4 linked regions of the Drosophila melanogaster genome follow. Changing the gene in region 2 together with the main gene of any one other region gives a genetic interaction. Each region holds a gene or a part of one and is shown on either strand. Other genes may lie near its edges. The genes, in order: Rbfox1, kn, nau and lola.

Region 1 (4,908 bases), on a different chromosome or scaffold from region 2:
CCCTTGGCTTTTCGCCCAGCAGTTTGGCCTCGTTTTTAAATTGAAATCTCTGCAGCCAACACTGGACATTGCCTTCATTTCCCCGCGGACAGAGAAAGGGAGAGTTGTCCCTGCATTTCTCCCGTCCTTGCGGTGCTTTAAATAATTGCTTAGAAGCCGACGAGCAGACTCAGTGGTAACAATAATAACCGCCCAAGCACTCCGACTATGATAATAATAGCAAATAGAACCTGCCGCAGATGGAAATGCCACTCGGACAGACGCCGCTCCCCTTTCTCTTACTTTTCCACATAAGCCTTTGGCTTATGACCACACCCCCCCACTGCAAATGCATTTCACTTACTCTACACACACACACACACTCGTATAGTAGAGAAAGTAAGGGCCAGTGAGAGTTTGTGTGTTTATGCTCACTTTTAATGTGCCATATAAAATAATTTAATGACCGGCCAGAGACGAGGGTGTCTCCTGGTAATGAGAAAAGCGATTGGACAAAAACGGGTGGCTGTAAATGATAATAGTGGCATATTATGATGCAGATAGTCATGACAAATGGCTACGTCGAACTTTAATTGGTAAGCGGACTTGGACTGGATCGCCATATAGAAAAGCAATTATATCTGTAATTATAAACTTATCTATTTGCCATTAAGAATGGATTACAATGTTTGAATGCCATTTGTAAAGCCATAATATCTACAAAGTATAAGTAAACAAATTTACAAAAATGACTACAAAAAAAAAGTCTTAAAAAGTACTCAATACAATTTTCATGTAAATCAACCCTTTTCCATTTTCTCTTTCTCTCCTGCTGAATTTTAAATTGTTATTTTTAAATATTTTCGTTGGGCTTTTTCTTCGAGCTTAATCTGCGGAAAATTTTCCATCGGTTGCCTTAAGTCAACCCTAATTAGGTTATTCTTGGCAATCCCTTGCTCAATCCCCTTTTAAAGCGGCCTTAAAAAACGGAATTAATTTTCCGAAATTTATATTTTTCTTTTGATTTCTTTAGATTTTTGGTTTTGCTTTCGTTCTTCGTTCCCGATTTTCGTCCTTCCACTTTACTGTCCTGGTCATTTTCTACAAAATAGTTGCGCTTTATTTCCAGGCAACTTCGTCGCTCAAGTGACAGCTGTCCTCACCTCCACTTCCGCTAGAATGTCAATAAAAATTCAATTACGTTTTCCGCCAAAGAAAAGTTGCTGCTGAAAATACGTTTTCCTTATAGCCTTCTGTTTCCATTTAAAATTGCCTCTCTTTGTCGAACGGAATTTGTTTGCCAGCCTGATCGATTTGTGATGCTGGGCCGTGGAAATGTGGAAATCAGAGACTTGGGCACTTATACTTAATGGCCTAATTATGTAACCAAACGCCCACACACAAATAGGCTGAGTAAATAATCATAATAATCAGCATTTTGGCGGGGGAAAGAAGAAACCATAAACTTCTCGGGGTTCAAATAAAAATAAATTGTGCGACTAGGCTTGGGCAATTTGGCGGAAATGGTTTTCTGCCTTGAACACATATGTTTATAAGATTTATTCTGTTTTTCTGCTTATTTTTTGTGGTTAAATAGTTGGCCAAGTTTATGCTGATGATGCCGTAGGTCGTTGTGCATTAAACCAAATTTAATGTTACCTTTTATCAGGTGGCATTAAAGAGCTCTTTCACCAAAAATATACATTTTTCTCATCCCTCAAGTAAGCATCAAACTGTTATACTGACTGTAGTGTTATACGGCAAAGGCTGCTGCATACTTACAGGCTCTTTTGCGCAAAATTTCAGTCTCCCATTGCAAGTGCTCACGTGAGGACGGAAAACATTTTGCTCATCGCTTTCGCCTCGCGCATTGGCAAGTCGCGTAAAATTCTCGTGTTAACAGGAAAAACGTCACAAATTTTTCAAAACCACCCCAAGTCCCATTACCCGCAGTGGGAAAAACCTCAAATTCCTTGGGCTATCCGTATCAATCAACGACTAAAGGCTTAGTGTCCCTTTGTGATTGTGTGTGCTTTTTGTGTGTGCACTGTGTATTTCGTTGTGCTGCCGGCTTCAATTAGCAGCTTTTCCTCATTCTGCCCGCTGCTCTTGTGTGCGTTAGATTAATGAGGCAAAAGTGTTTTGTCGTGTCGTGCGTTAAATATTTAATACAATATCAAATAAATGTTGCATAAGCCGCCTGTCATTTAGCATCTAGTGCCAAAAGCAAAAAAAAAAAGAAAACACAAAAACGTGTGTTTGTTTCGTGTGTTTACCACAAGTAATTCGGACAGCAAACGGATTCTTTTTTCACGATTCACAAGAGCACGTCGATCAAGTAAGCCTTAGCTATTAAATATCACAGAAATAAAAATGTATCCCATTTAGCACATTAAGTTACCCATTTGAACAGCTTTTATTGGACTAGTCTTCCGCTGAGATATCTTGAGAATTTGCCCATTTCCCAAACGCATTTAAAACATTTTTATTGCCCATTTTTGCTTTATGTCCCGCATTAAAACATCTCCCGCTACGTAAAGATAATTTTGATTTGATATTCGTGTAATTTTTCCATTTGTTATTTGCCCGACTTCCATTGTTGATGGTCTGGCAGGGAATTTCGATTTGCGTTTACCCTTCATTTATTTTCAGCTGGAGATGCAAATAATGGTAGAAATGCCCGCAAAAATACTTTTACAGCAACAGGACTCCGGGGCCGATTTTCATTTCAAATTGCTCACATTAAGGGGCCACCCCCCCCCCCACCGGGCATCACAATCTCCCCCCTTTTATGGCACTCACATACCCTGTATCTGTGCATATATCCCCTTATTACCCAGCGCAGAGTACGAAATTAATTGTAACCAAACGTTTTGCTGCTTGCCGCAAACTTACTTTTATACTAGTTCATTTGCCACGCCCCTATCCCCCACGGAATGGACGCACAAAGACAACTAAAAGGGTATACACGCACAGCAACACTGAGAGAAATGGGTTCTGCATCGATAGTTATAGTTTTTAAGCCAAAATGTATGCTTATATTTTCTATTGCTTAATTTAAGACTTCTTTTTAGTGACTTTGAGCCTTTACTTTAAATAACTTTAAACTTTACTTTAAATAACAAAATCGAAGTTGTGACAACAGTTTTTCCTGCGTGAGCTTATACAAACACGTGCATGTACATGTGGAGCAAGAGGTAGCTAGCATCCCAACTAAGTAAATAATGCGTAAAACAAGTCAAGCGTTTTACAAACTCACCCATTTCGCCATCCCGTTTCCCCGTTAAACAAAGGGGGTTTCCACTGCAAAACGGGGAGTTTCCCCCATTTAGAAACAGCAGAAACAGTCAATTGTAAAATTGCTGCAGCCAACAAAGCGTGGCAAGGAAGCTAAGCGAGTGGCTCAGACTGTTTCCATAGGTAGTTGTTGCCCGATGTTGATGACGGCTAGGATTGCCGGATTCCCGGCACAAGAATCTCCACCGTATGTAATTCATTATTATGCTGACTGAGGCTGGAAGGCACTGACGGTAGAAGCCAGAAGCAGGAAAAAATATTTGCGCACATGTGGCTAGAGTTTCCATCACTTCAGCGTGCTGCTGTTATTCTTGTTAAGGCTAAAATTGTCTGTCACTTTGAGACTTCCGTCATCTGCAGGATAAAAGCTGTGGGCGAAAATATGCGAGCGAAAAATGAGACTCCACATTTTGGTTGTATGCTAAATACTTCACGGTCCACGGTCCTGTTTATGCAACAAGGATGTCTTTGAAAATATCAACGTTGGTTCGCAAAAAAGGATACCTATTGTATATATCGGGCTTAGAAAAATAGGGGATTTTAATACTAAAAAGTTTTAAAAAACTTAAAACTTTCGTGACATGTGAAGATGGCTCTCATTTATCAACGCTACAAAAGTAGCTCAAAATGGCCCTTTTGAAAATATAAGGACATGAAAACGATCAAATATACCACCTGTGTCGCAGTCAAAATGTAACAACAATTGAGAACAATAAACAAATGGCACACAAAATCAAAGTTTGGTTCGCTTATCTTTGTTTGACTTCTCTTCACTTTGACCCACCAAAAAGTTTTTATTTTTTTATAATGTCCTCGAAAAATGAGCGCCATAAATCATGGGGCGTAAATATGCCACCCCCATTTATCTCGTCTAACAAAGGGAAAACTTGCACCGTAAATTTGTATAAGCAGCAATTACTTAAAAAACTCCGAACCTTGACTTGTTTAGCCAACCAATGAAAAACTCTATTGTCAACTACAATATTTTTCCACAGCTCCATTTGCAGTTATTTACATGAGCAGATCCACATTTTTGGGTGGCAGATGGGTGCTGTGCCTGATATTTTTTTTTATGCTTACTTGCGACATCGCATTTTTGCACAAGACTTCTAAACTATATTTCGGACAATATGCAACATGATATTTTTCATGCTTATTCAACAGAAAAAAAATGAGAAGAGATTGCACATACGTTCCTCACAGAATTTCAATAAAATAGAGTAGGAATTTATGTGCACGATATGTTTCCGAGATTCTATGAGCATGTAATTTGTGGGTATTTCTGTCACAGTTTATATGTACAAAAATGTGCATTGCAGTATGCAGAGATCTAATGCTTTCCTTTTTTTTATTACTCAACTCATTTTGAAACTAGCCTTTTTAAATGAAATTGCCAAGCAGTATATACTTATATTATTGAATATTGATTTATTTAATTATTATTTGAAATGAAAAGTATTTTATTCCTTCCATTTTGTAACCCCTTTTCATATCCTTGCAAATAATTTGTCTTATTATGCTCCCCACTTTCGGGCATCATCCATCTTAATCGCTTTGACTTCTTTGGGTGGTTTTTCCTCTCATTTTTCTTCTTTTCCCTTTTCTAATAAGCCTAATGGCAACGCTGTAACC
Region 2 (5,001 bases):
CCAGCATTCCTAATTAATTTTTGTGAAATTTTCAAATCTCATCGGACCCCCAAAAAGAATGTGGAAGGAAGAAGCTGGCAGCAGGACTAAGGAAATCCCGAGGGGGCGACCTTTTTGGCCTTTTTGGTCTCAGTGTCGGCCACAAACAAGCTGGCTAACAAACAAAAACAAACAAGAAAACTGGTAGCAGAATAACGGTACCGGTCTTGGGCGTGTTTCGATACTGGACATCTGCACTTTTGGTCAGACATTTTGGAAAACAAGGATATTGACATATTATCTTCGTCTCATTCTCAAAGGTTTCTCCGTAAACTTAACAGCCAATCCCATTCGCAATCCACTCGAAACTTCAGTTTTGTGGTCCTGCTCTAAAGGACATAACCATGCATATAAATTTGATTATTATTAAGTCGGGCACATTAGTGAGCATTTCTAATGAATGGAATCGAGTCGAGCAGATCCTTGTGCCCGAAAAAAGGGTCAGCCCACAGACACACACCCAACCACCGTCACATACGAGCTTGTTAAAGCCAATTTATAAATACTCAGGTTTATGGTTTTAAGTACTTAAATATTTAGCACACTTCTTGGCCTCAGACTGTAGCTCTCCCTCTCTCTCTCTCTCTAAGGTTATATACACCTCTCTTTCTCCACGTGTGTGAGGCTTTTATTTATAATTTATGCGTCCGCAGGGCGACACTCATTCGGTTGCGAGTGGGTGTGGGCATGAGTGCACTCATTAAGCAAAGGATGTCCTTAAAGGTAAATGAGCAAATTTAATTTAAGCTTTATTTTTACCATATTTTGGTGAATGGATACAAATGCTCCTTAAGATCTATTAATAATATATATCTTCTGATATATGCACCATTTTTGTAATACAATAGTAAGTATCACTCATGATTAATAACCGAAACATCTTTTCCCCAATTAGGTAACACAAAATGAGCAAATTCAATCGCGCTAAGTGCTATATAGACCAATTTCCTCTTTTCAACCGCCCCCAATTCAAATTTTTGAAGAACATTATGCGCTGCCATCGAAGTGACCTGATTAATGAAGCCATTTCGATTCCGTTGTTCAGCTTAGCGATTTCAATTATCGGACATGTTAGGCGGGGTTGCACTTACCAGGGGGGGTGGCTGGTTGCATGGGCGGTGCAGACGACCGCCGATTAGCACGTGCCACTCGTTCCGAGCAAAATCGCAGGAAGCTAACCAAAACGCAAGGACACGTGGCAGGAGCGCAGCTTCCAAAGATAAACATAATTATGCAATACGAGGGGGAATAGCAACGGAAAGTTGGCCAATCTGATAACACGCAACGAGATTTGTCATCATCAAACAAAGTGGGCGTGAAAATTGCGGATGAAAAGCAGCCAGGGGTTCTGATCGGCAGGAAGGAAGCGACGATGTAAGGATGCAAAAAGGACACGACGCAATGCTTCCTGCCCGGATGCAATCATGTCCGAGGCGTGTGCGCGAAATATCCTTTGTTTGCGTTTCCCAGGACTCGGAAAAGCGGTACGACAGTAAAGCAGTCGGAAATAATTGCACAGCAGTCAGGATAATAAAGATACTCGCGGTCCAAGTACATTATCGAAATTGATACGCCAGCTATACTATCTGGCGCATATGCTAGTCGAAGTAGCTATATATCCTGAGGGGGCGGAGTAGGCTGGCTATTCCAATTCGCGATTCAGGTCGCGTTTGTTCGCCACCAACCTCAATGCATTTCACTTTGTCGTTGACTATCCACATACACTGCGATAAAATAGCACATCTATTCTGTGGATAAGTTTTCTTTAGAGTAACAAGTTACCTATAAAAGAGTCCTTTAAACACATTCTTACTTAATCCCTTAACCTAAGCAAACTAGGAAATTAGCTAATTATTTTCCAGTGTAACTTCAATTTGTCTGACCATCACGTAGTTCATCAGGCAGCCTTCTTTCAGCCTTTTGTCCTTGTTTCGCATTAAAGTTTCATTTGGCCGAGGCCACTTGGCATGCGGCAGCGTCACTTTTGACCTGGCTGAAAGGATACTAATCATAGCACTGCCTCCATGAGCAACGTTCTCGGCACATCCTCATCAGGCTGATTGCGAAAAATCACTGGAGAAATCAAGCGAGGTTCGTGATTCCATACTGACATATTTGGTGAAGTGGATTTGGAGTGGTTTTCCCAACCCACACATTCAAGTGACAATCACAGTCAAATTTTTTCGACTCTTTTGTGTATTTTTAGGCGAAAAAACAGAAAAACCATGAAAATCAATTTCGCTTGAGGGAGGTTGAAGCTAAAAAGCATATTGTCATTTGGTCAACCCACACCAACATATCTGAAACATTAAACAGATTTGGCCTTCCGATTTGGTTATATTATTTCCTTCAGCTGTTTCAATAATTCATATTTTTCGCTGATCCCCAGAGAGATGCAGGAAAATTATTAACGAAGGCCAAAGAAAATCAAATTGAACTTTATTTGCTCTTTAAATAGTTGGTTTTATATGTTTTAAGTTGAGTGTCGATAGCAGGGAAGTGGTAAAAATTTAAACAAAATAGTTGGCCGTAAATCAGACGGAAAGTGAGGCCAGTTTTGGCACTTTGGCCAGGATCTAATACCCATGTCCTGTTTGGCGATGAAAAAGGGGGCGGTGCTTCGTGTCCCAAGTCGGCTGTCAAACATAATCACCTTGCACCCCCCCCCCCCCCTCTCCATCCCAGAAGTTCTATTCTCAAAGGAAATTTATGTTTTTTATATGGACGGCGGAGCAGAGACAAAAGTCTGTGTGTGAATGAAATATATTATTTTGCTTTTTACCCGCCCTGCTCTTTCATTTTTTAACACATTTTGTAATTTCAACACGTTGCCACGTACCGCAAAAGTTTCTTCCACTCCAAAATGTCCACCAATTGCAATGCCGCCTGTCCACCACTCGGACTCGGACTTGGATCTGGACTCGGATGATTAATGGTTCCGGGTATTCCGGGACAGGCTCCGAGTTGGCTGGGCCAAATAATAAATCGTTCAAATCGGCTGGGGATTATTTTTCCTAGTAGGCGGCGGTCAGCATTTTGCTCTGTCACCATTTTTGCGAGAAAAAGAATGGAATTTTTCCTTGACTTTTTCGTATTCAATATTTGTACATATTTTTGCCAACGAACGTGTGCGAAATTCAAAAATACTTCTGCACAACAAATGGCAACAAATTTGTGGATTTCAATTAGATTAATATAAATCTAAGGAATTGAATTTTTTCATGTGTTCAAAAGAAAAAAAACGGAATTAAGGTGGTAGATTGGCTTAAGTAGTGCGTGAAAAATTGGTAATATTTTACTGAAAAAAGTACATATGTCTATTTAATTGTACTTGTTAGAAATACCCTACTTCTATCAGCAAAACGTGCAAAATGTGTATATGCAATATAATTTGTGTTGCACAACTTGTCTTCAATTATTTCTTGATTGATCAAAGCCTTAGATTTATTTTAGGCAATTAAAAACAATAATCCCCAAATAACCGGTTAATTGAAAGGATTTCCTGGAATATACATATATGATAATGTAAAATTAAATAACAAAATTTGTTTTCATTTCGTCGAGCAAGATCAATCGAAAATCCCATCAAAACCAGTTTTGTTTCAAACAGATGGAGCGGTAAAACCGAGCGAGGCATAATATTATTAAAATTCACAAAATATTATAATTAGTGGACGCATGCCAGCCATTAAACAAATGAGTATATATAGTTTAGCTTTATGATCGGCAATGTATGTATAATGCATAATATTTCTCTGAAACTCCGTTTGTTAGGTGTTGGCCACGTTGTAATCAGGTTATTGCCCCAAGCCCAAGAGAAGAAGTTCGAGAAGTTCTTTATTGCCAAAAACACGAATCGGGTCAAAAGCAGAGCTCAAGGCGCAGACTGGGTACAAAAAAAGTACAATAAGAAAAAGCGAGGGCACTTGGCCAATTTACACGAGCTGGCCAAAACAGTTTGGCGTTCGAATATATAATGCGAAATACAAATAAAGTGAAAACAAACAGAACAGAAATTCCCCGTTGGCGCTTCGCTGCTTCGTCATGTGTTTATTTCCCATAATCATTAACTTTTTGGGTGGATTTATATGTGAGATAAACTCTGCTGCAGAGAGGGGAAATTAACTGAGAGATGTGATAGTATTTAACCTTATGAATCATTGAGCCTAACTTTACGTTTATGAGCCACAGCCAGAGGTTTTAAGAAACTTTAAATGCCTGCCTCTTGTTTTTTTTTCTGTATTTGTTTATTGTTCAGTCTACCTACCGGTGGAGTTATTTGCCCAACTCTTCTGCCTGTTTGACGGCTTCTGCTTGTTCTTCCAGCTTTAGATGATAATGATGTAGATGGTTCGCACTGCGTCAGCATTCGAAATTTCCATATATAAGCGCTAGGGAGCCGCACCGCGAGCTTAGTCGTTTTGGAACTTTTCACGCGTTCGCTGCCTCAGTCTTTCGTTTCGTCTTTGTGAGTGCTTAACCGCAGATAGGCCCCTCTGCATACCCCTAACCGCTGAATTAACCCTACTAAGTGACGAAGTGTGTGTTCTTACAGATCCATACCGCTTCACAATGAAGTACGCTGTGATTGCCATCGCTTTGTTTGCGATTACTACCGCTTCGGCCTCTTCCGGTGAGCAAAAAAGCAAATTTGAGTATAATTTGAGGAGAGCTTAAGCCGGATTGTGCACTTACATCATCGCTAGTCGGAGCTGCTATCGTGTTTATTATTAATTGAATTAACAAGTCGGTCGACGGGTGCTAGTATGTTAATAATACCCAAAAACCTATCGAACCCATCCGGAAACCCAAACTGGTTTGTGAAATTCGCGTAGCTCATTAACTTTGCGACAATGTTTGTCCAGCAAAACTTTCCGCACAACAAATTCGCTTTTTATTACGATTCCTAAAATATGGCTATTCAAAATCAGCATTACGTTTGATTATTCACGCGATCGCTGA
Region 3 (7,815 bases), on a different chromosome or scaffold from region 2:
GTACGATCCCTTCCTGCTGAAGAAGGCATTTGCTCTGGTGGACCAATGCATACCACTGCGATTTGTTGAGATTCATATGATCAATATGCGCAAGGAGGGACAAACCATATTCAATTTTGTAACGAAGTTTTTGCCCTCCAAACTGCCTTTCAAGGTGAATCTATCATCAAAAAGCTTGAATTGCGTTAGGATTGGTAATTAATCTCTACAATATTCTACACAGTTCGTGGTCCACAAAAAGTCGGAGGATCTGTACCAGCACCTGCCCAGAGATGTGATGACCATCGAGTATGGTGGCACCAATGGCTATCAGGCAGAGGCAGTGGATCATTGGCGCCAGAAGCTGCTGGACAGCAAGGATTATCTGGCCAAGGATGCCCAGTATGGTACTAATGAGAAACTGCGCGTCGGATTGGCCAGTGCCTGGGCCAATGGAGAACTGGACGGGATGAGCGGTTCCTTCCGCAAATTGGAGCTAGATTAAGTAAGACGACTCTAGTTGCTGTTTTGAATTACCATTTAATTAAGTTCTAATGCTATACAAATAATTTAAGGCCTATTCGGGTCACTGGGTATCTCGTGTATCCTCTTAAAAATAGCTTTACAATTGCCTAAGGTGCTGATACTTAAGTGCTAAGTGCTGCACTTCCGTTTGAAGTTCACGTGCAGAGAAGTGGGTGCAGTTGCTCCGGATGAGGGCGGCGATTGGGTATCTGAAGCGGAGGGCGTGGCCTTATTTTGAATGGGACTCGTGGTGCTCTTATTGATGCTCTGAACAATCAGATTTAGACAGTCCAAACTGGAGCCATTGGCATTGCCATCAAAGTCTATACAAAAATATTTTAGATAAATACATCAAATACTTTTTTTTTTTTACTTTTACCTGTAAACTGACCATATTTCTCCATATGTTTGTTGTAAAAACTAAGTTTATCTTCTAGATAAGCGCCAGCATAGGAGCTCTGCAAGGAAAAACATAAATAAATACAAATGGAAAAATCATATATTTTTTTTTTAGTTGGCCTCAAGCGAAATTGGGGAAACAATAAATTACAGAAAAGTGTCGCCGTCGAAATGACAACGTCAAATTTGCTCCGGTCCTGTCAACTTGGCCAACGAGTGCCATACAGAATGCAGTCTAATGATGAGATTAAGCCAAAATTTATGCCAGTAAAGAGATTCCACAGGCCAATTAAAACGCATTGAACCACCGCACCACACCCATTGTCTGCCCCAACATTGTGGGGCATTGTGTGCAGTGCACTTTAGAGGCAATTAAATTAATTTTGCGCATACGCAGACGACAGACAAGGCATCCGGAGATTCGGTCGGGATTTCATTAGAAAAATTCGCTATAACGCCGATGCTAAGCAAATTATAATTGCCACTTCTGGGTGGGTTTCCTTGCTGCCCCCCCCCCCCCCCCAAATCCGCATCTGGTGCATCCAAAGTGCCGTCACTTCGTCTGCAAGGATCGACAAATACAGGGCATCCCGTATGGCTTATATGTATGTACGTCTGTTTATATTTAGCGGACAACAAAGTACGGAGTGATAAAACAACAGAATAGCATTCAAAGCCGAGTGAAGTGAACTAAACTGAACGAGAGCAGATGAACTCACACTGCACTTTTATAAAGCGATTTATCATTTTTTTCAAGCGTTTAGTGACAGCCTGCGCTCGATATGCCGCAGTCAGCAAGCGGATACACTGGGAAAAATTACACAAAAATAGCACAACTGGGTTAAAAGCAATAAAGTCTATTTATATGACAATATAATACCGAATATTGAAAAATTTCTTTGGAAATAAATTCTCAATTTAACAAGCATGTTCGAAATATATTTTTAGACATGCCCGACTTCTTTCTGTGTACTTGTTTGCAGGTCTTTATGGTATTTCGGTGTATTTTATTTTATTTTTTTTTTTTTGAGCATATATCATGCGTTGTATCTGAATGAAATGCCACTTATCACTTGGGCATTCCGATTCTTCGGTTGCGTAAAGATTTTAAGCCGCTTTTTGGCGCGTTCCCCTTAGATGTTCTCCTCCGATCTGTGAGCGTGTAACGGATATGCGGCATTATGCGATTTGTTAGCCATAAGTTGCATGAGTTTTTACCATGAAATATGCTTTTAATATACTAAACCCACTTTAAAAATATTGCCACTTCTCTGCGAGTTGTGCGGTCAGTCGTAAGATCTCATAATCCATTTCGGAAATATCACCGAAAAAATGCAAGAACTACTTGCCAGATATGTATTTACATTTTTAATAAGATGCAAATAATGTTGATGTTTATTTTCGGAATTATTTAATCAATCTTTCTCGGAAACTGAAAAAGTTACTTTTTGAAACGGGGACGTGTGATAAAGATTATCAGTGGTGGTTAGACCATAAAAATCACACCAATTATCTCTTCTCAATAATTTGCAATATCATTTATAAACTGCTTTCCATTCGTAGAAAATATCTAATAGTGTAGCTGTAAAGCTATTCAAAGATAACAAAAGTTTTCGGTAGCATATCTGTACCTGATAATAGTTTAAAAACTGAATGGTAGGGAATCCGATCAATCCTGACTCACTGTCCAAATGGATGGTTTGCACCCACGTTACCCACATCTTTCCGTGAGTCATTTGCACCGAAAAGCTCTATCTTAAGACTTCAATGATTGCGGCTATGTATTTCATTACGTAGAAATTTGACTGATATAGACAAGGTGGCACTTTTGTATATCGCAAGTACTACACTTTATTGGCGGCGATAAGGAAATTTATGGGCCAACTTAGCGTTCGCATTTCGTGTTGGAAACAGTTCAAAAGGAAATCTTTTACTTAAGTCGCCGAGGTTTATAAATACACGGGCTCCAAATGAATGGATATGGATGAGATGGATGGATTGCCAGGGTCTGAGATGCATTTGAATGTCTGCACGTTTGGCGCTATGCCAGTTTTTAATCAAACTATGGCCGCACATTAATATCTGCCAATGGGGGGCGCAGTCAACATACAAATACGCTAAGTTTTATGGTAAATTAACAAATTTGTACATTAAAATTGTGAGAAACTTAAACAAACTGCATGGAAATTACTCAGCGCAGGCCAACCCGAAAGTCAAATGAAAATGAAAAGAAAAGAGGGCGTTGAAGATGATGGCAAAAATGTTTGCATAATTGTTGACAATTTGTTGCCCTGTCATTCGGGAGTAGATATGCATGTACAACCCGCTCCCGTCCCCCCCCCCCCATTTTTCATTCATTTTCATTTCCCTTCAATGACCAACGACTTGGCCATATCTTGCAACACCTTTCGAAGAAGAACACCCCGAGATCTTGTCATGTTTTTCCTGTGCAATTTGTCAACTGCCACAACGGTTTTGGTTCCACGTCGCAGGGAAGCTATTATGAAACAGAAAAGCGATCGTCGCAATCCACCAAACATGGGGATGAAGATTCTGGTGCCGATTCCTGCTCCAACGAATTTGTTGTAATTAATTTACAACACGATTTCCATTCGGGCTTATAAAAAGAAAATTTATTTATTGCCTTTCACTAAATGCAGACAACGACCCTTTCCCCTGTAAATTCTCCTAAATTCTCCAGCTATTTTTCCTCTAAATTTTTTTTCCCCCGTTCCTTTGATAAAAGTTTGCTCCCCTCACATCTGGGCAAACTTTCTCGATCATAACTCATAATATTCCCGGTTTTCGAGTGAATGTGATTCAGAAATGTGGATGATGGGCTGCCGGCGTAGCTTATTAAGTAGCACGTCAGCGAGCGCATAAATTCCGGTCAGCAGATACAACAGATATCAGATACAGTTTGGGGACTGACTCTTTCGGGGATCCGTCCGTATACATATTCTATTTTCATGTTCGCCATTGCGACGGACCAGACCCTGAGATTTTGATGAATGTGCGCGTCGCCAAAGAAAAATGTACGAAAGCGCTGCTCATGCATGAGAATTTTACGAGAAAATAATTGCGGAACGATATACGCGCCGATATTGTGGGCTTAATATTAATTGGCGGTTAGTGGACAAAACTTACCAGATAATCGGACTGGCAGCTTTTGCCGCTCAAACTGGGCGCCAGGTTGTCGCCATCGCGTGTGGTACTGGATTCCTAAGATAATCAATTTAACCAATGGTATTCTCTATTCGCGGTGAGATGAGTTCACTCATTTACCTGTAGCAGATCCTCCAGGCTCTCGATATACTCGATGGCATTGCGCAATATCTCAACCTTCGGCAGGCGCTGGTTGGGATTGGATGAAGTGCGTCGCTTGAGGATCTCGAAGGCCTCGTTAACCTAGAATGTGAACGGAATAATAATCAATTAATGGCCATCGTTGAAATCATGGAAATCCATTAGGCGTGCCATAAAAACACAGAACACGCGGCGTGTTCCCCTTTTAAGTGGCTCTTTAATAAAACATATTTTAAATTAAATAGAGCATAAAATTTTCAACAATTAAGCCGTTCGCCCGTCGTCTGTCTCTTTATGACAGCCCCCCATCACCATACCCCTTCTAACCGGAGCTCCCACGATTTTCCGCCTTTCACTAATGTCTCTATGTGGAGCTATAAATACGTGTGGTTCATCCAAAACTTTTACGACCGTCGAACTCATAAATGCCGCTGTTTAACTCTTGGTCTTGGCAAATGTTTATGTTTTACGCATGTTGGGTGGTTTCCCTTTCTGCGCGTTATGTCAATGGATCCGATCCTCCCTGGTGGCGATGTGTTAATTTGTGGGGTGCTAGCCGAGCTAATGAAATTACTACAAAGTTGCAGTCCTTAAACGCAGGGGACTTGCGAACTGTGGCGTAATCTATTTTTAAGATCGACCGAGGATTAATAAGCCTGCTGATGGAAAAGGACTCTTGAACAGAGTTCTGAGTGGTATGCCTATATTCAAGTCCCCATAAGCAGTTTTAAGTTATTATTATAATAATGAATTGAATGAATCAAAAATCTACTTTTAAAGTGAACCATTCTTTTAATGAATGATTGAAAGATGAAAGTGCTGTATTTGTATCAGTAGTTATTGCACAATATGTTTTTAATATTTGATAAATCTGAAAATGTGTGTAATGTGAGCATGGGATGCCTACCTTTCGCAGTCTCCGGCGTTCCCTCATAGTGGCCGCTTTCCGACGGTCCACGGTGACGCTCTTCTTTTTGCACGCCTTGCAGGCCCAGGTGAGGCATGGTCTGGAGGATTGGGCGGAGGAGCAGACGAGGGGCGCCAGGACGTGCTCCTCGGAGCTGAGACTGCTGTTCTCGTCATCGTAGTCGGTGGTGTAGATGGGCGACGGTGTCATATTCATGCCCAATGGCTTGTCCAGCTCAACCGGATTATGATTCGCATGACTGTAGTTGCAAGACGAACCCGATCCGTTGGCTGAGATGGAAGCCGCTCCACCATTTCCCGCACTCGCATCACCGACGGCATTGAAGCGGCTAAAGAAATTCTGCAGTGTCTGGTGTGGATTCTGGCCGGGATGGGCTATCGGATTCTGTTGGCTATAGGCGCTAAATCCGTATCCAGGATGTGTCGGCTGACCATAGCCATTGTGGTACTCCTGCTTGATGGTTTGAGCCGCAGGCATTTCACTGCTGCCACTATTATACTTGGTCATTTTTCACTTCACTACGATTTTGTTATATTTTACAAAACAATTTTGGTAGTTCAACAAGTTGCTGAATTTAATTGCTGATACTAATTACGATGGCACAGTTAATTTAGTCAGTTGATTATTACCATTTTTAACGTGGTTTAAGCTCTTTTTCTAGGTATGCTAGGTCATTAACACAAATTTATGAGTTATGGTTACACACAAGTTTTAGGCTGTGGTTTCTATTTAATTTAATTTGTTATAGTTTCACTTTCGGGATTTTTAAAATAGAACCTTAATTAGTTGGTTACACTTTAATGATGCTTTGTAAAAACCTCCGACATTTTCAAAAATATTTTTCGACTTCGATTTGCGGACCGTACGCGAGTGTGTGTACCGCCTTCCGTCGCAATCGCAACACATTTGGTGACAATATCCAAGAATCCAAGATATCGTGGGCCCCCAGATGTGCTCGCGATCCTCTCGGAGTGCGGATGCTGCTGCGTTTTGAGTGGCTGAGTGGCTCTCGAGTGGTTCCTATTTTTAGAGGCGCCCCGCCATTAGACGACATTGGCGGTTCTCTAAGGCAGAAGGACGCTGCCGCAGGCCACGCCCCTCCCCTTTTTTTTTTAATTTTCGTGAGTTTTCAACGCGATTTTCCGCTCAATGTGAAGCGTGTTTGTGAAAGGCTTAGTTCAAATCAAATAAATTGAATTTTACCTGGCCAGCGATTAGTGTGGGTTGGTGGGGGAGGTGGTGGCATAAATTAGCTTTCGGGGAGCTCAACAATTCGTTAATGTGACACATTTAGTGGAAAATCCGGCCCCCCGTCCACAGATCCCATCAATGGCAGCCACTTTTCTATTGAGTTATAGTTGCAACGGCCGAGAAAAAAGCGAGAAATTGAGCAAAAAAATAAATAAAATAGGAGAGGCCGAAATAAAAATAGTCAAAGAATTGTGTTTATTTATCGCTGCTCAGGCACAATATATATCTTTGGAAATCACCTTTAAATCTTCCCCAGCGATATTGTAAATCTTTTGTCTTAGGACCGTGGTTTGCTCGAGCACTTTCCATCTTCATTTTTCCACTTTTCCCTTCTCGTCTTTTTCCATTTCGTATTTTCTCCTCACATTTTCCATCTTGCCGTACTTTGATGGATGCTTTGTTTTGATTCGGTCTGATGGTATTTTGGTGGCAAAGACTATTTGTTGTGCCACACGATAATCCCAATTGTAAATTTAATCATTATCGGCCTTTGTTTTCGGGCAGTGTACTGTCAACGCACAAATGTAACTCAGAAAAGAACGTTTAAAAAATCAAAATCATTAAGTAAATTCGATTTATTGTGTTATTAATTTAATCAAATAAATAAAATACATATTAAAACTCATTCTTATGTGCATATTTGATTTTACTGGCTACTTGATTGAATTTTCCATAATTCCATAATCCACAAAAAAAACACATTCACTCATACAAACAAAATGCATTCACATATTAACAAACACCATACACTAGTCGAGATTCCTTAGCAAGAAAGTTATGGCTTCAAATTTGCCTTTATCCATGAGAAAAATGCTCCAGTCTTTGTGTAAACACCTGGTTTTCTATCTCCGCAATTCTCACTTCCATATGAAACGATACCGGCCAGATATACGATATCCTGGTAATCATTATTAAGGGTTAACATCAAGGGACCTCCGGAATCACCCTCACAGGAGTCTTCTCCTCGAATGCCAGAAGCACAGATTTGTGATTCGTTGCGGAAGAACGATATCTTGTCTTGGCAATAATATCTGTTTTCATAAACGGTGTTATGCAACAACACCTGACTATATTCTCTGTTTTTCGTGTAGCCCCAACCGGCGATTTGCAATGGGTGATTATGCAAGGGGATGGGATCTTTCGGCACACAAATCGGTAGAATTTCGTGGGTATATCTAAGGAAATAAAAACTTTGGTTCATAATAGTCAGAAAATGATGCCTTATATTGCAATACTCACCGAACTGGCGTTTGAAGACGCACCAAGGCGATATCGCTTTCAAACCTTGAGGTGTTGAAATATTGTTCGTGGACATTGAAATACTCGATGCCGATCTCTACAAAGGGGGCAGCGCAGTTTCCTGTAAAGTCGCAATCCGGATTGGTGGTAATATCATGCTCGCCCAGCCGCACTCTCCTGAGCACCAA
Region 4 (4,762 bases), 4.3 Mb from region 2:
AAGGAAAAAAAGTTGATGACTTGAAAGAAGTGTACAAGTTTAAATTGTAAACAAAGAATTAAGGCAAGAAACCAAAGAGAAAAATACAGTTTTTGCTTTTCTACACTTGTTGCGCAAAAGCTTTTTTATATCTCATTTATTATTGTTATTATTCTGCACATGTGCGTAGAATGTAAACAAATGAAACTTTTGCAAAAGTCACAAGTGAAATTTAGCAACGTCGCGCAGTCCCATAAAAAAGATTAGGCGACACGAAAATATGAAAAATGGAAATGTGTAAACGTGTCGAAAAGAAAACAACAAAAGCGGCGTAGCAGAAGTGTAGCACAAAGTGGAAACAAAAATATGTGGCGACTGTTCTCTCTCTCCCTTCCTCATCATCCTCCTTGCCTCATGCTGAGCCGTCTGGTTCTCCCACTTTTCTAAGTGTGTGTGAAAAGTGCAGAGAGAAAATTTCACGCTTGTTGTTTTTGTTTTTCGTGAACAAACATAAAAACTGACGAGGGAGTATGACAAAATGAGCGGGAGAGAAAGAAAAGGGGAGCCAAAAGAGCGAGAGAGCCTAGCATTGAACAAAATATTTTATGTGTGGGGGAAAAACCAAGATGGCGGCCACCAAGACTTTGGGAATCTATCGAAATGAAAAACGTGCTTTTTTGTAGGAGTTTATAATAGAAAGCAATTAATTGAACTCGCTCTTGGCAATCTTCGTGTTTACTAATCATAGTTTTTTTTATCAAGCTTTCCCTCGTCGCAATCGGTAATGAAAAGCTTATATAACTTTCCTACTCGCGCACACATACACGTGTACTTGTAGAAAACATTTCCCACTGCAACACTTGACCTCATTTGCATGGAAAGTGAGCCACTGGCAGTGTGTGCGTGTGTGAAAATTAATGAAAACCGCCCGTCATTTACTTCAGCGTTGCATTTTGTGGGAAAGCTCTCCCTCTCCTGCTCTGTCTGTGCCTGTCTCTTTTCGTACATTGGTGAAAAGCTTTCTCCCGTGAAGTGAGCATAGGGAAAAATCGATAGAAACACCACTGGAAGTATCGATTCGATATGCAAAAACACACACAATCTCAGGCAGATAATTGCCAGGTACAGTTCAAATGCAAGTTCTTATTGTATATTATTAAGCGGTACTTTAAAACATTATTGATCAATTTTATATACACACCGAAATAGAATCACAGGCAGCACGTAGTCGTCAATAAACTTTGCACATATCAAATTTTGGTGTTGCTTTTCCAATCCATATATGTATATATATAGTAAAATATATATAATACTAATACACACACACACGATAACGCGACGGGGGGAAAAGCAATAAAGTTGAATTTATTTTTACTGTATGTGATGGGGCCCTGTATGCATGTGTATGTATTTTCCTTTCCCGCTGCCGTGGAGAGCAGAAAGAAAAGAGTAGGCAGCAGCAACAACGCACCACACACTGAAAATTGCGGACGCGCGAAGCCACTGAAGAAAAACTGACGACTGACGCGACTTTCCGCTGGTGCTCGAAAAAACGAAAGGTTCCCATAAGCAGAGACCCCGAAGAGCGCCGAGAGAGTTGGAAACGAAGCCGAAGCGAAACCCGAAGAGTGTGAGTGCGAATGAGAGTGTGAGTTCGAAAAATAAGTTGACGTCGCCTGTTTGCCACCCCTCTTCAGACGTGTGCTTTTTGTATGCTTGGCGCACAGAGTTGCCAATTCACGACAAAAGATCGACAAATTAGGATGATGCAGAAGGAGGACACGCTTTTCATTATCTGGTTGCCACCTAATTTAAGTTCCACATCAAGGAAGAAGGAAATACGTTTCCAACGGACGTCAAATTTACTAACTACACTACTTGAAAAGCCTGTCTATAAAAACACGATAACGTTTTTGCTAATCTCAAGACAATGTTAAATATAATTGGAGAAAGTATTGAATATGAATATCACAAAAATTGTTTAGGGTCTCTACGTGGTAAATAGTATTTGGCATAGACAGTGAGATGTGAGTCGTACGTACTAATTAATAAAGTTGTTCAATAGAACCTCATATACTGTAAGTGACAACGAACGAGGCTGACAACTCTGCTTGCACATATTTGGCGGAGTTCGAAAATATCATTCGCATTGGTATTGTTTTTGTTTTCCACCATGGGGCGAGATTTTGTTGTTGCTTTAGCTTTGCTTGTTTTTTTCGCAGCAAAGCGAAGCCATAATGTTCGAAATGGTAAAATTACCGTTGCCGAGCAAGCTCTCTCTCTCCCCCACTCCGACACCTCTCTCCATCTCTCGTTGCAGTTGTTTAAGGGTGTGCGAGGGAGATGAAAGATGGTCTCGGCTTGTGTGTGCAATGCATTTCCCACTAAAAAGCGCAAATTATATTTTGTGCACTCTCCAAACGTTTTTATGATCGGCGTTGATTTATTTTTGGCTTCCAGCATGACTTCATCGCCGCGCGTTTTCTCTCTAATTTCGGTGTACAAATTATGTGTACCTAAATATGTACCTTAATTTTTAACGGTTTCATCGGGTTTTCAGCTGGAAAATTAACATTTCTGTGCGAAATTCTACACGCATGCCAAATGTTCTAACCAATACTAATTGATGCGAGGAGTGTCGTTTCTGTGGCAAAATCATAAATTCTACAGATCTTTTCGACGGCTACAGTGTGCATATGAAAGGTGAACGTATAGAGATGATGGTCCCCGCATAACATCACGTCGATTGACAATCGCTCACCTGAATTTCCATTGGAGTTTTCATGGCAACTCGGTCACGTTCCCTCTTTCTCACTCCCTCTCTCTCTTTCCCACACGTTGCACAGGAGAGGGGGCGCAAACACTCACAAACACCTATAAATTATTATATATTTCGTCTTTTTGCATTTGCAGTTGAACTTTAATTACAACAAATTATGCACTCGACACAAAAACGTATTTAACATCACATAGTTTTTTCCGTGGGTGTTTTTCCAATCGGTGCTCCGCTTGAATTTATGCAATCCGCACTGTTTTTTAGACTACTAACAATTTATCCTGATTTTTTATGTGGGTGGAAAAGCAACGAGAATTTAACGAGCGGAGCGACGACGATTTTATTCCTGAGAGTTGCCGTTTGTTACTGAAAAATCGCTGCAAAAAAGTTCGAATAAAAGTCGAAAAAAGAAATAGGCTTTGCGTGTGTGTGTGAGCACGAAGTTTTTGCTTTTGTTGTTCTTTCTGCTGCATTCGAAAAACCGAAGATCGTTCGTGCGCTAGAACAAGTGAGTGCGAGCGAGATGGGGACACTCCACGATACAGTTGATTGCTTTTTGCAACTGTCTCGTTGGAAAAAAGCGTTTTGCGCGGGAATTGAGGGGAAGAAAAGAAAGAAGAAGAAGGGGTTGTGGCAAAAGGAAGTCGCGCTAAATGAAAAGGCAAAGAAAATGTGTTTTTTTTTTGCTTAGCACATAAGGAAATATGGCACATGGAGTTCTATGTAAAAAGCTATGTATTTAGATCGTCAAATAAAACGTGGAATTTGTGGGAAACACTTTTATAATACTTTTTGTATGTATAAGAGTTATAATAAGCATAATGAGAGCATGGCATAATACGAGATTTAAGCCACATGATGTACTATGTACATATGTACATAGAAATGTGTGTATGTACATACATAACATAATTTTTAACGAATTCTTATAAACCAAGTGGAAATGTTTCTAAAAAATTATGAAATGTCAAGGTCATACATAATTTACAATGTAGGTTCTACAATTTTTAGAGATTACAAAGCAGTGAGGAACATACTTATGTACATACATTTATGTAATATTTACATAAGTACATAAATATTTATGTGATTATAAATTTATATACATATACATATATGAAAGAATATATACATTCATATATACACAGTTTTTTTTAAGAAGCTTACACGGCAACTGAAATGATCTCACCATGCAGATGCAGAACTTAAAATTTGTAAATGTACATAAAAAGCTAATTTAGGTAATTTTACTACAAATAAAATAAATGCTATTAGCGCTGAAGAAGATAATTCACCAGACACCTGTCATTATTTTTTGCGAGGCAATTAAAATTCCCGACTGGGGAAGTAGAAAGGTGTCAAGAAAAGATTAAACTTTCAATTTATGGATCCACTCTTTTTTTTTGCATTTTGCCATTTTGCATATCTGTTTGTTTTGCCAATTGCTACTTTCTAATAAAATCGTCAATGTTCACGGCACACATTCGTATAAATCTTTGGTCGTTTTTTACCACCGCCTTGCATTAGCAATTGCCAAAACTTGATTTTGATGCTTAAATATAACTGATTACTTGATTTGAGCAAATATATGTACACATGCATGTACATATAAAAAAGTCAGCACAAGATCATAATTACACGAAAAACAAGAACAACAATAATGCTGTTACACGGTGAGAAATACATATGTGTTATGATTAACTAAAGTCAGTAAGCATATTTTTACTGGAATGTAGAATTTAAATTCATTTATGAAACTACATTTTTGCTAATATGCATATAATTTCTAACTGATTTCTAACTCAATTGGCACATTACAATGCCTTGAGAGCAAACGTAAGATTTGGAAAAGTGTTTTGACCGATCTATTACTAATATTTTCTTGCAGTGTAGCGCTGTCGGCGTCGACGCCCGCGCAGCAGCTTAAAAAAGCTGCGCTCAAAGAAATTAACAATAAAAGTTGGAAATTTTGTTCAACGCTTTTTGTTTATTTTTTAATGTTTTTGT

Evidence for each region.
Region 1: of kn (region 2) and Rbfox1, changing one suppresses a phenotype caused by changing the other (phenotypic suppression), as found in Drosophila melanogaster (one study listed by BioGRID).
Region 3: of kn (region 2) and nau, changing one enhances a phenotype caused by changing the other (phenotypic enhancement), as found in Drosophila melanogaster (one study listed by BioGRID).
Region 4: of kn (region 2) and lola, changing one suppresses a phenotype caused by changing the other (phenotypic suppression), as found in Drosophila melanogaster (one study listed by BioGRID).

What each region holds. Positions count from the first base shown.
Region 1 is NT_037436.4:10,479,629-10,484,536, forward strand, and holds the start of Rbfox1 (RNA-binding Fox protein 1), read left to right. Parts: upstream 1-1,783; 5' UTR 1,784-2,317; intron 2,318-4,908.
Region 2 is NT_033778.4:14,803,972-14,808,972, forward strand, and holds the start of kn (knot), read right to left. Parts: upstream 3,091-5,001; coding exon 2,879-3,090; intron 1-2,878. Other genes in the region: hui (hase und igel), read left to right, coding at 4,612-4,672. UniProt on the Drosophila melanogaster protein: May act as a 'second-level regulator' of head patterning. Required for establishment of the PS(-1)/PS0 parasegmental border and formation of the intercalary segment.
Region 3 is NT_033777.3:23,712,313-23,720,127, forward strand, and holds nau (nautilus), read right to left. Parts: upstream 6,046-7,815; 5' UTR 5,645-6,045; coding exon 5,117-5,644; intron 4,312-5,116; coding exon 4,189-4,311; intron 4,126-4,188; coding exon 4,051-4,125; intron 1,002-4,050; exon of another isoform or gene 963-1,001; coding exon 884-962; exon of another isoform or gene 828-883; coding exon 634-827; 3' UTR 502-633; downstream 1-501. Other genes in the region: CG10300 (uncharacterized protein), read left to right, coding at 1-154, 224-484; CG10232 (uncharacterized protein), read right to left, coding at 7,164-7,563, 7,628-7,815. UniProt on the Drosophila melanogaster protein: May play an important role in the early development of muscle.
Region 4 is NT_033778.4:10,540,165-10,544,926, forward strand, and holds the start of lola (longitudinals lacking), read right to left. Parts: upstream 3,128-4,762; 5' UTR 2,741-3,127; intron 1,832-2,740; exon of another isoform or gene 1,677-1,831; intron 1,610-1,676; exon of another isoform or gene 1,181-1,609; intron 1-1,180. UniProt on the Drosophila melanogaster protein: Putative transcription factor required for axon growth and guidance in the central and peripheral nervous systems. Repels CNS axons away from the midline by promoting the expression of the midline repellent sli and its receptor robo.